Oryctolagus cuniculus: one gene and its partners. The protein of the gene in region 3 interacts with the protein of the main gene of each other region in a pairwise test. Links are inferred from orthologs where the notes say so. Each region holds a gene or a part of one and is shown on either strand. Other genes may lie near its edges. The genes, in order: ZMIZ2, CEP76 and SALL2.

Region 1 (3,644 bases), on a different chromosome or scaffold from region 3:
GTGTCCCTGTGAGGTGACTGAGGTGACACAGTGCGGGGTGACCCTGTGAGGTGACACAGTGCGGGGTGACCCTGTGAGGTGACTGAGGTGGCCCTGTGTGAGGTGACCCTGTGAGGTGACTGAGGTGACAGAGTGTGGGGTGACCCTGTGAGGTGACTGAGGTGGCCCTGTGAGGTGACTGAGGTGACACAGTGTGTGGTGACTGAGGTGACGTTGTGTGAGGTGACTGAGGTGGCCCTGTGTGAGGTGACCCTGTGAGGTGACTGAGGTGACAGAGTGTGGGGTGACCCTGTGAGGTGACTGAGGTGGCCCTGTGAGGTGACTGAGGTGACACAGTGTGTGGTGACTGAGGTGACGTTGTGTGAGGTGACTGAGGTGACACAGTGCGGGGTGTCCCTGTGAGGTGACTGAGGTGGCACAGTGCGGGGCGACCCTGTGAGGTGACTGAGGTGACCCTGTGAAGGTGACTGAGGTGGCCCTGTGTGAGGTGACTGAGGTGACACAAGGTGGGGTGACCCTGTGAGGTGACTGAGGTGACATAGTGTGAGGTGACTGAGGTGACACAGGGTGGGGTGACCCTGTGAGGTGACTGAGGAGGCCCTGTGTGAGGTGACTGAAGTGACAGTGTGAGGTGACCCTGTATGAGGTGACTGACACACGAGGTCATCATTTGTGAGTGTCTGAGGTGACAGACTGTGAGTTGACTGAGGTGACACACGCAGTGACTCTATAGCGGCCTACCTAAGGTGACGCTGTGAGGTGGCCCTGTGTGTGGTGACTGAGGTGACCTTGTGCTGTGACTGAGGTGACACTGTGAGGTGGTCCTGTGTGAGGTGGCCCTGTGTGTGGTGACTGAGGTGACCCTGTGCTGTGACTGAGGTGACACTGTGAGGTGGTCCTGTGTGAGGTGGTCCTGGGTGTGGTGACTGAGGTGACCCTGTGTGAGGTGGCCCTGTGTGAGGTGACATGACACACGAGGTCATCATTTGTGAGTGTCTGAGGTGACAGACTCTATGTTGATTGTGACTCTGTAGCGGCCTGCCTAAGGTGACGCTGTGAGGGAACCCTGCGTCAGGCGTTGCTACGAGGGGTGACCCTGTATAGGGTTTCTGCCCTGAGCCACACCATCCTAGGCTGTGCTGTTGACACCAGCACAGACGTCCCCAGGCTTACACATTTGGTCACACTGCTGGCAGTCTCACCCCCAGAAGTCTGAAGAAGTGGGGAGCCCTCCCCGCCATACAGCACGCCTCGGAGACTCACTTGCATACGGGGCACCTCCAGGTCCCCCGCTCACAGTTGAGCTGCAGGTACGACTCCAGGTCGAAGCACTGTGGAAAATGAGCAAGAGGCCATCTTTCATCACGGGCCCAGACACTCAGGCCGGCCATCCCCCGCTGCTTTCCCTGTGCGTTAACAGGGAGCTGGATGGGAACTGGAGCAGCCACTGGGACATGGACCAGAGCCCACACAGAACGCCGGCGTCCCTCACCTGCCCGAGTGCTTCAGGCCCTGCCACTCATGTGAGAAACCCAGATGGAGTTGCTGGCTCCTGGCTGTGGTGGCCATTTAGGGAGTGAGCCAGCACACACAAGATCTCCCTATTTCTCCCTCTTTTTTTTTTTTTTTTTTTTTTTGACAGGCAGAGTGGACAGTGAGAGAGAGAGACAGAGAGAAAGGTCTTCCTTTGCCGTTGGTTCACCCTCCAATGGCCGCCGCGGCCGGCGCGCTGCAGCCGGCGCACCGCGCTGATCCGATGGCAGGAGCCAGGAGCCAGGTGCTTTTCCTGGTCTCCCATGGGGTGCAGGGCCCAAGCACCTGGGCCATCCTCCACTGCACTCCCTGGCCACAGCAGAGGGCTGGCCTGGAAGAGGGGCAACCGGGACAGAATCCGGCGCCCCGACCGGGACTAGAACCCGGTGTGCCGGCGCCGCTAGGCGGAGGATTAGCCTAGTGAGCCGCGGCGCCGGCCCCTATTTCTCCCTCTAACGCTCTTGCAAATAAACCTTTAAAAAGGAATCATCAACTGGCGAAGCTGGGAGCACCCACCTGTATGTGGCGACAGTCGTGGCCCCGGGCGGGGAGCTGGATCCTGCGGAAGGTGATGGGGCACTTCAGGGACACCTTGATGGCCGTCTGCTCCACGCCGTCCTCCCCGTTGGGCCCAGGGGTGCCCGGGATGGTGCCACTGCTGAAGTTGCGCTTTACTGACAGGAACGGGGAAAGGACGTGAGTCGGCGGTCCCTGCCGCGGCGCCACTGACCCATGCCCGGGAGACGGCCTCACGCGGCGGGGACACTGCCCAGGGGCAGCAGCGCTCGGCCGGGGCCGGGGCCGGGGCCGGGGCAGGTGGCGGCGCTCACTCTTGGTGATGCAGTGCTCCGCGGGCAGAAGGCGTTTCTTGAGGAGGCCCTGCAGCACGGAGCGCACGGCCGGCCGGTGCACCAGCTGCAGCACGAAGAGGTGGGACTGCAACACGACCGGAAAACGCCGTCAGGGGGACTGGGAGGCGAGCAGGGCATCTAGGATGCGGAGAGCCAAGGGTCTGGGGCAGACCGGGCCAGCCATGCTCCTGGGCAGCTGGGCCCCGTCCTCCTTGGAGCAGGAGGCACGGGGAGGGCGCTGCCGCCTCCCGCCGTGAGCCCAGCAACCCGTGCTGCTAGCCACGCCCCTCCCTAAGCACACCTGTGCTGTGCTGCCTGCACTTGACGTCCAAGCACTGCCCAGTGCTCATCTCTCTGTTGAAACACAAGCACCCAGAGCCCCCCGGACACCCCCAGCCTACAGCATCCTGTTACCCGTGCTGGCTCCGGAGTCCCTTAGCAGGGAGCAGCCAGGCTGCGGGCTCCAGGCCCGGCCCGGCCCGGCCCAGCCCAGCTCTGCCCAGGACCTGACCTACGTGCTGCAAGTCCTCAGCCGGGGACTTGGAACCGCGCGAGGTTTCTCACAGCTAAGAGCATGGAATCTGATACGTGCAGTCTAAGCAGAAGACAGGGTGTGGGGAGCCAGCGCTCTTTCCTTAAAGGAAAACGACTCAGAGGGAAACCGCAGGGCGGTAACGGGAGGGGGGGCCAGGCTGGAGCCCCGGGGCCCGCACGCACGCAGCAGCAGGCGGTGACGGTGATCTGGATGGTGTTGCGGCCCGGCTGGCACACGTGCTTCAGGTAGAGCGGCTTGTGCGAGGTCTTGTTGTCGCCACGCTCGATGCTGAGGGGCGTGGCGTTGACGCTGACCTGCACCGAGGCCGGCCAGTTGGTGTTCATCTGCCGGTCCTCGTGGTGGTAGCACTTGAACTGCAGCTCCAGGTCGGGCCTGCGTGGGATGGGCGGAGGGCCGGTGCTGAGCGCGGACGGGCGCGGGGCGGGCCGTGCAGGTGGGGTAGGGGTCTCACCTCAGCATGAGCGTCTTGTAGACCGAGTCCCGCAGCTGGAAGGCGTGGTTGCTCACTGCCAGGTTGTGCTGCAGGCGGAAGGGCTCCAGCACCACCCCGTCCCGCACCGGGAAAGTCAGCCGCAGCTCGTCGCAGGGGCCGCCACCTGGAGGCAGCCCCCGCGTGAGCTGCGGCGCCTTGGCCCCTCCTGCCCTGTCCTGGCTCGGTCACCTGGCCCGCCGTCCCCTGAACGATGGCAGGCAACACAGCCCGC
Region 2 (3,644 bases), on a different chromosome or scaffold from region 3:
ACTATTTCCTCAAAGTCTATAGGTGTTAAGTGTAAAAAATTACACTAGACAAAATTAGACATTCTCAACTGAGATTTTGCAAAATCACTAGGAAAATTGGCCCAAACTAAGTAGATACTTTCCAGAACTCATGGATCAAATCTGCACAAGAAAGCTAAGTCATTTTAACAGCTCCCCCATGTGATTCTGATGTCATTCCTAAGTAAACATCTAGGATGCCTATAGCGAGAACATTTATCAATCCATAAATAATATCTTACCGAAGACATGTGGCAAATGCACGCCTAGCATTCCTGTACACAAAATGTATTGGGAACCCTTTAAATGTGTGACCATCAGGTACAGCCCTCCTTATGGCATCTTGAAATTCTTCATTGCCTGCAGATATACTTGTTGTACGCTCAAATTCATAAGAAGCCAAAGCTGGTGATAAAAGATAGGAAAGCTGGTCTTCCCAAACAGTGGTAAGGCCAAGATCCTACAGCAATCAAGAGAAAAAGAAAATGGGAAATATATTAATATTTTCAAAAACAAATCAAAATGTAAATTATATTTTAGCATATGCCAAGAAACGATTTTTGGAAGTTGTCATAATTTTTAAAAATATTTATTTATTTACTTGAGAGGCAGAGTTACAGAGAGAGGGAGAGACAGAGAGGGAGGTCTTCCATCCACTGGTTCACTTCCTAAATGGCAGCAATGGCCAGAGCTTTGCCAATCCAAAGTCAGGAGCTTCTTCCAGGTTTCCCACATGGGTGCAGGGCCCCAAGCACTTGGGCCATCTTCTATTGCTTTCCCAGGCTATATATAGCAGAGAGCTGGATTGGAAGAGTAGCCAAGACTCAAATTGGCGTCCTTATGGGATGCTGGCATCGCAGGCAGAGGTTTAGCCACAGCGCCCACCCCAAGTTGTTATAATTATTTTAAAGATTTATTTACTTATTTGAAAGGCAGAGTTACAGAGAGATAAAGAGGCAGAGGTAGAGAGAGAGAGAGGTCTTCCATCTGCTGGTTCACTCCCCAGATGGTCAAAATGGCTGGAGCTGAGCCGATCTGAAGCCAGGAGCCAGGAGCTTCTTTTGGGTATCCCACACGGGTGCAAGGGTCCAAGGACTTGGGCCATCTTCTATTGCTTTCCCAGGCCATAGCAGAGAGCTGGATCGGAAGAGGAGCAGCTAGGACTAGAACCAATATTGCAGGTGGTGGCTTTACCTGCTACACCACAGCACTTGTCCCTCATAATTTTTAAACTATTAATTATGATAGGGATGCACAGAAATAAAAGTAAAGGGAACTATAAATTTCCAGATTTCACTTCTCAGAAACATAATCAAAAAACATTCAATATAGTGATGTGACATGAAAGGTTCATTTCCTGTATAGTATGGAGGCAGCCATTGTGGCACCATAGGTTAAGCTGCTACTTGGTACGCCAGCATCCCATATCTGAGTGTCTGGTTCTGAGTCTTTGCAACTGTGCACTTCTGATTCAGCTGCATGCTAATGAACCCTGGGAGGCAGCAATGAAGGATTAAGTACTTGGGTTCCTGCCACCCACAGGGGAGACTTAACCTCCAGCTGTGGAAGGCAGCTGGGGTATAAACCAGCATATGGAAAATCTCTCTCACTATCTCACTCTCTTCTCTCTCTGCCACTGTCTTTCCAATAAACAAATCAATCTAAAAAAAAAAAAAAAAAAAAAAAAACCCACATGAAAGACAGTGTCAGTGAATTTTTAGATCACTTTTTTTTTAATTTTCAAGAGTTAGTAAAATTGAATCTGCTTAATTTGCTCCTACCATAAACTGAACTATAGGAGAGAAAAGTCAAATTAACTGCACATATAATTAAACTCAAATATTTATTGAGCATTTACTCTGTAAGACAATGGCAGGGCCAATGCTGGGGCGTAGTGGGCTAAGCCTCAACCTGCAGTGCTGGCATCCCATAAGGATGCCAGTTCGAGCCCCAGCTGTTCCTCTTCCGATCCAGCTCTCTGCTAGGGCCTGGGAAAGCAGTGGAAGATGGCCCAAGTGCTTGGGCCCCTGCACCCACGTGGGAGACCTGAAAGAACCTCCTAGTTCTTGGTTTCAGATTGGCTCAGCTATGGCCGTTGTGGCCATTTGGGGAGTGAACCAGCAGATGGAAGACTTCTCTCTCTCTCTCTGTAACTCACTCTCTCTCAAATAAATAATAAAGTGATCACTGTTAAATATAAGAGTGGAAATAAGAGAGGGAAGAGATGTGCAATTCGGGACATGCTCAAGCTGACTTACCCCAAACAGTAGAGTTGGAAACATACCAGGGGATTCCAATTCAATCCCATCAAGGTGGCATGTACCAATGCCATCTCACTAGTCCCAGTGATCAATTTCTGTTCACAACTGATCATAATGATAGGACTAAGAGCCAAAGGGATCACATAAACAAGACTAGTGTCTGCAAATACTAGCTGATAGAATAAAAAAGGGAGAGAACGATCCAACATGGGAAGCGAGATACACAACAGACCCATAGAATGGCAGATGTCCTAAACAGCACTCTGGCCTCAGAATCAGCCCTTAAGGCATGTGGATCTGGCTGAAAAGCCCATGAGACTATTTCAGGCACGGAAAGCCAAGACACTCTGGCAAAAAAAAAAAAAAAAAAAAAATCTCCATGAGTGAGATCCCAGTGGAAAGAACAGGTCATCAAAGAAGGAGGTACCTTTCTCTGAAGGGAGGAGAGAACTTCCACTTTGACTATGACCTTGTCTAAATATGAACAGAATCGGTGAACTCAAAAGGCTTCCATAGCCTTGGCAACTCATGACAAGAGCCTAGGGTGATTACTGATGCCATAAACAAGAGTGTCAATTTGTTAAGTCAACATCAAGAGTCACTCTGCACTTACTCCTCATGTAGGATCTCTGTCCTTAATGTGCTGTACATTGTGATTTAATGCTATAGCTAGTACTCAAACAGTATTTTTCACTTTGTGTTTCTATGTGGGTGCAAACTGTTGAAATCTTTACTTAATATATGCTAAACTGGGCCGGCGCCGCGGCTCACTAGGCTAATCCTCTGCCTAGCGGCGCCGGCACACCGGGTTCTAGTCCCGGTTGGGGCGCCGGATTCTGTCCCGGTTGCCCCTCTTCCAGGCCAGCTCTCTGCTGTGGCCCGGGAGTGCAGTGGAGGATGGCCCAAGTGCTTGGGCCCTGCACCCCATGGGAGACCAGGAAAAGCACCTGGCTCCTGGCTCCTGCCACCGGATCAGCGCGGTGCGCTGGCTGCAGCGCGCCGGCCGCGACGGCCATTGGAGGGTAAACCAACGGCAAAGGAAAACCTTTCTCTCTCTCTCTCTCTCTCACTGTCCACTCTGCCTGTCAAAAAAAAAAAAAAAAAAAAAAAGCTAAACTGATCTTCTGTACATAAAGAGAATTGAAAATGAATCTTGATGTGAATGGAAGTGGAGAGGAAGAGGGAAAGGAGAGGGTTGCAGGTGGGAGGGAAGTTATGGGAGGGGGAGCCACTGTAATCCATAAGATGTACTTTGGAAATTTATATTCATTAAATAAAAGTTAAAAAAAAAAGAGTACAACTCAAAATGATAATATAACTAGGGTACAGAATAACATTTAAATCTAAATAAAAGAATAAAAATAA
Region 3 (4,425 bases):
CCTTGGAAATTAAGATTAACAAGCAACATGAAAAAAACAGATCTAATTTGAAAATATATGTGCTTCAGGTTATTTCAATTGTTTGACTACTGAGACTATAAGATATAATTAATAATATTCAAGATTCCCCCAATTTTAACAAGTCCCATATTATTTGTCAAGTTTTTTTTTTTTTAATTTACTTTCTTTTTTTTATTTGAAAGTCAGAGAGACAGATTTTCCATCTGCTGGTTCACTCCCCAAATGACCACAACAGCCAGGGTGGGACAGGTTGATGCTGGAAGCCTTGAACTCCATCTGGGTCTTCCATGTAGGTGGTAGGGACCCAAGTACTCGAGCCATCACCTGCTGAGTCCCAGGACCTGCATTAGCAGGAAGCTGGATTGGAAGGAGAGTAGCCAGGACCCAACCAGGCACAGGCACTCGCATATGGGATGCTGGCATACCAAACTGCACCAAATGCTCTCCCCTTAAAAAAGATTTTTAAATTTTCTTGTACCCTAAATATTTCTCTGAAGAAAATAGTGCAGCTGCCATATTGCCACTTGATGGTAATACCATGCCTCAGTTTACCAGACAGGCTAGGACAGGACTGGGACTGGAACAATGAGGGTAAACTACAAAACCAAGGTCACCTCCTGCATGGAAGGCAAAATATTTTCTGAAGCGAGAGACCCTTTAAGAATCACTTCAAGGTGGAAAGGGAATGCAGAGTACCCGGCTCAGGAGGCATCATTGCCCTCTTTTCCTCTCTGAAGGGAAGGAGGTGCCCCTTCGCGCTAGGTTGGGGCTCAAAGGGGCTAAGGACACCGAGGTGGCCAGGCTGCCTCTGCTGCGTTTCCCCCATTGTTTCGAGCGAGCTCCCCTCCCCCCAGTTACAGCCGGTGGGCCCGCGCAAGCCTCGGGAGGCTGGCATCTCCCAGACCCGCCGCCCCCAGTAGTGAAGGCGAGCCAGACTGCAAGGGAAGAGGGACCCACGGAGGAGATGGCTTCTTCAACAAGCGCCAACCCCAAATGCGCTGTGGCCGGCGACCTGCGCAGTGGCTTGCATTCTATTATTCTGCAGGAGGAGGGGCGGGCAGTAAAGGAGCTTAGTGTTCCTCAGAGACGACTCCTGAAATGAGTTCCTTGGAAATCCTACCTTGCAGCTGCCTACCCTGAGAAACTTCTCTTGTGCAGAGGGACGTAGAGGGAGTAGGATGAGGAAGACCTGACAAAAGTTGGGAGGTTTTTTGTTTTGTTTTGTTTTATTTGGGCGGGGGGCGGGGGTCGCGCTGGTGAGGAGTGGGTGTCCTGGGCTCCTCCTCCCGCTGTGGCCCTCAGGCCTCTGAAGAGATCAGGCCACGCCCCCCCTCTGGAATCCACGTTTTCCAAGCTCAGCGGATCTTTTATCCAAAGAAAAATAAGAGAAGCCCATTGCCTTGCTCTGCTGCGCAGGGCTTCGTTTCCCACTGTGTCCCCTGAGCTTAGGGGGTGGGGTGGGCAAAGACATCTGGAGATGGGGGGAGCTGGCAGAGGGCTGAGAAAGGTGGGTCCACACTGAGCCTCCCCGCACCTGTCACGCAGCCTCCGGAAACCCTCGTAGTGCTGGGCGTCCGCCCCCACCCGTCCCGCGCTCCCCACTCCCGCCTACCGCAGCCCCCGCCTCCCTCGGCAGCCGCTCCTCCCGGCAAGCTCTCCTCCCTCCATCTCCCCTCTCCCAGCTTTCTCGCTCCAGCTCCTCCCCTCCTCCCCGCTCCCCTCCCCCTCCGCCGCTGCTCCCTGCCCCCGCCACCGCCGATCTCCGTCTCCGCAGTCTGGGCCGCTGGGTGCAGAGGCAGTCGCAGCCCCGGCGGCCAGCGGCGCCTCCCCCAATCCCGATACCTATTGTCTCCCACCCCTCCCGACCCCGCACGTCCCCCACAACCATGGCGCACGAAGCCGGGAGGAGCTCCTGTCTCGGGGGTCCCTGCGGGGAGCCGGCGGAGCTCGGAGGTGCGGTAGGGCCGGGCTGGGGCCGGGGCCGGGGCAGGGCTGGGGGCGGGCTGGGGGCGGAGGGGACGCGGGCGCGATCAACTGCATGGTTCTCTGCTTAGGCCCCTTCCTCAAACCCATTGCGCTGGCCAGGGGACCAGGAAAGGGGGGGGGGGGCTTTGGGAGTGGAGGGGAGTAGCGTGCGCACGCCCCGCAGCCGCAGGCTGGAGTGTCTCCTGTCCTGTCGCGGGGGTCAGGACTGAGCTGGAGCCTTCTGCAAGGCCTGATGGTGAGCTCATTTCCCCACCCCCAGCTAGTGGTTCCCGGGCTCTTATTAACCAGAGCCGCCTCTGAATGCTCCACTCAACCTCACCACCCAGGCTCTCTGTCTTCTCCCCAGGTGATGCTAGCGAGGAGGACCACCCCCAGGTCTGTGCCAAGTGCTGCGCACAGTTCACTGACCCAGCTGAATTCCTCGCCCACCAGAACGCCTGCTCTACCGACCCTCCTGTGATGGTGATAATGGGGGGACAGGAGAACCCCAACAACTCTTCAGCCTCCTTGGAACCCCGACCTGAGAGCCACAGTAGCCCCCAAGTCATGGACACCGAGCCCAGCAACCCCCCGGATTCTGTGTCCTCTGGGCCCACGGATCCCACCTGGGGCACAGAGAGGAGAGGAGAGGACTCTTCTGGGCATTTCCTGGTCGCTGCCTCAGGTACAGCGGCTGGGGGAGGTGGGGGCCTCATCTTGGCTAGTCCCAAGCTAGGAGCAACCCCCTTACCTCCAGAATCCACCCCTGCACCCCCACCTCCTCCACCGCCCCCTCCACCCCCAGGAGTGGGCACTGGCCACTTGAACATCCCTCTGATCCTGGAGGAGCTGCGGGTGCTGCAGCAGCGGCAGATCCATCAGATGCAGATGACGGAGCAAATCTGCCGGCAGGTGCTGCTGCTGGGCTCCTTAGGCCAGACGGTGGGCTCCCCCGCCAGTCCCTCAGAGCTGCCCGCGACCGGAACTGCCTCCTCTGCCAAGCCCCTGCTACCCCTCTTCAGCCCCATCAAGCCTGCCCAAACTGGCAAGACACTGGCACCTTCCTCTTCTTCCACCTCCTCCTCCTCTTCCTCCTCCTCCTCCTCCGGGGCAGAAACGCCCAAGCAGGCTTTCTTCCACCTTTACCATCCGCTGGGGTCACAGCACCCCTTCTCTGCTGGAGGGGTGGGGCGAAGCCACAAACCCGCGCCCGCCCCCTCCCCAGCCCTGCCTGGCAGTGCAGAGCAGCTGATGGCCTCTCCTCACCTGGCGTTCCCAAGCACCACGGGACTCCTGGCGGCTCAGTGTCTTGGGGCCGCCCGAGGCCTTGATGCTGCTGCCTCGCCTGGGCTCCTGAAGCCAAAGAACGGCAGTGGTGAGCTGGGCTACGGGGAAGTGATGGGGCCCTTGGAGAAGCCTGGTGGCAGGCACAAATGCCGCTTCTGCGCCAAAGTCTTTGGCAGCGATAGCGCCCTGCAGATCCACCTCCGTTCGCACACCGGGGAGCGGCCCTATAAGTGCAATGTCTGTGGCAACCGCTTTACCACCCGCGGCAACCTCAAGGTGCATTTCCACCGGCATCGGGAGAAGTATCCACACGTGCAGATGAACCCACACCCAGTGCCCGAGCACCTAGACTACGTCATCACCAGCAGCGGCCTGCCCTATGGAATGTCTGTGCCCCCAGAGAAGGCTGAGGAGGAGGCAGCCACGCCTGGTGGAGGTGTTGAACGCAAGCCCCTGGTGGCTTCCACCACAGCACTCAGTGCCACCGAGAGCCTCACACTGCTCTCCACCGGCGCGGGCACAGCGGCCGCACCTGGACTCCCTGCCTTCAATAAGTTCGTGCTCATGAAAGCAGTGGAGCCCAAAAGTAAAGTTGATGAGAACACCCCCCCGGGGAGTGAGGGCTCGGCCATCAGTGGGGTGGCAGAGAGTGGCACAGCCACCCGAATGCAGCTGAGTAAGCTGGTGACTTCGCTCCCGAGCTGGGCGCTGCTTACCAACCACTTCAAGTCCACTGGCAGCTTCCCTTTCCCCTATGTGCTAGAGCCCTTGGGGGCCTCGCCCTCTGAGACATCGAAGCTGCAGCAGCTGGTAGAGAAGATCGACAGACAAGGAGCCGTGGCAGTGGCCTCCACTGCCTCAGGAGCCCCCACCACCTCTGCGCCTGCCCCTTCATCCTCAGTCTCTTCCGGACCTAACCAGTGTGTCATCTGCCTCCGGGTGCTGAGCTGTCCCCGCGCCCTGCGCCTGCATTATGGCCAACACGGAGGTGAGCGGCCCTTCAAATGCAAAGTATGTGGCAGAGCCTTCTCCACCCGGGGCAATCTGCGTGCGCATTTCGTGGGCCACAAGGCCAGTCCAGCCGCCCGGGCCCAGAACTCCTGCCCCATCTGTCAGAAGAAGTTCACCAACGCTGTCACCTTGCAGCAGCAC

The links.
Region 1: the proteins of SALL2 (region 3) and ZMIZ2 interact in binary tests that used the Homo sapiens proteins (3 or more experiments, as listed by UniProt). The two-hybrid records come from large-scale screens. The link is inferred for Oryctolagus cuniculus from reciprocal best matches to the Homo sapiens genes SALL2 and ZMIZ2.
Region 2: the proteins of SALL2 (region 3) and CEP76 interact in binary tests that used the Homo sapiens proteins (3 or more experiments, as listed by UniProt). The two-hybrid records come from large-scale screens. The link is inferred for Oryctolagus cuniculus from reciprocal best matches to the Homo sapiens genes SALL2 and CEP76.

What each region holds. Positions count from the first base shown.
Region 1 is NC_091447.1:52,037,134-52,040,777, reverse strand, and holds part of ZMIZ2 (zinc finger MIZ domain-containing protein 2), read right to left. Parts: intron 3,537-3,644; coding exon 3,392-3,536; intron 3,313-3,391; coding exon 3,102-3,312; intron 2,470-3,101; coding exon 2,364-2,469; intron 2,208-2,363; coding exon 2,050-2,207; intron 1,332-2,049; coding exon 1,264-1,331; intron 1-1,263. UniProt on the Homo sapiens protein: Increases ligand-dependent transcriptional activity of AR and other nuclear hormone receptors.
Region 2 is NC_091441.1:69,536,941-69,540,584, forward strand, and holds part of CEP76 (centrosomal protein of 76 kDa), read right to left. Parts: intron 479-3,644; coding exon 261-478; intron 1-260. UniProt on the Homo sapiens protein: Centrosomal protein involved in regulation of centriole duplication. Required to limit centriole duplication to once per cell cycle by preventing centriole reduplication.
Region 3 is NC_091443.1:53,414,125-53,418,549, forward strand, and holds the start of SALL2 (sal-like protein 2), read left to right. Parts: upstream 1-1,602; 5' UTR 1,603-1,907; coding exon 1,908-1,974; intron 1,975-2,353; coding exon 2,354-4,425. UniProt on the Homo sapiens protein: Probable transcription factor that plays a role in eye development before, during, and after optic fissure closure.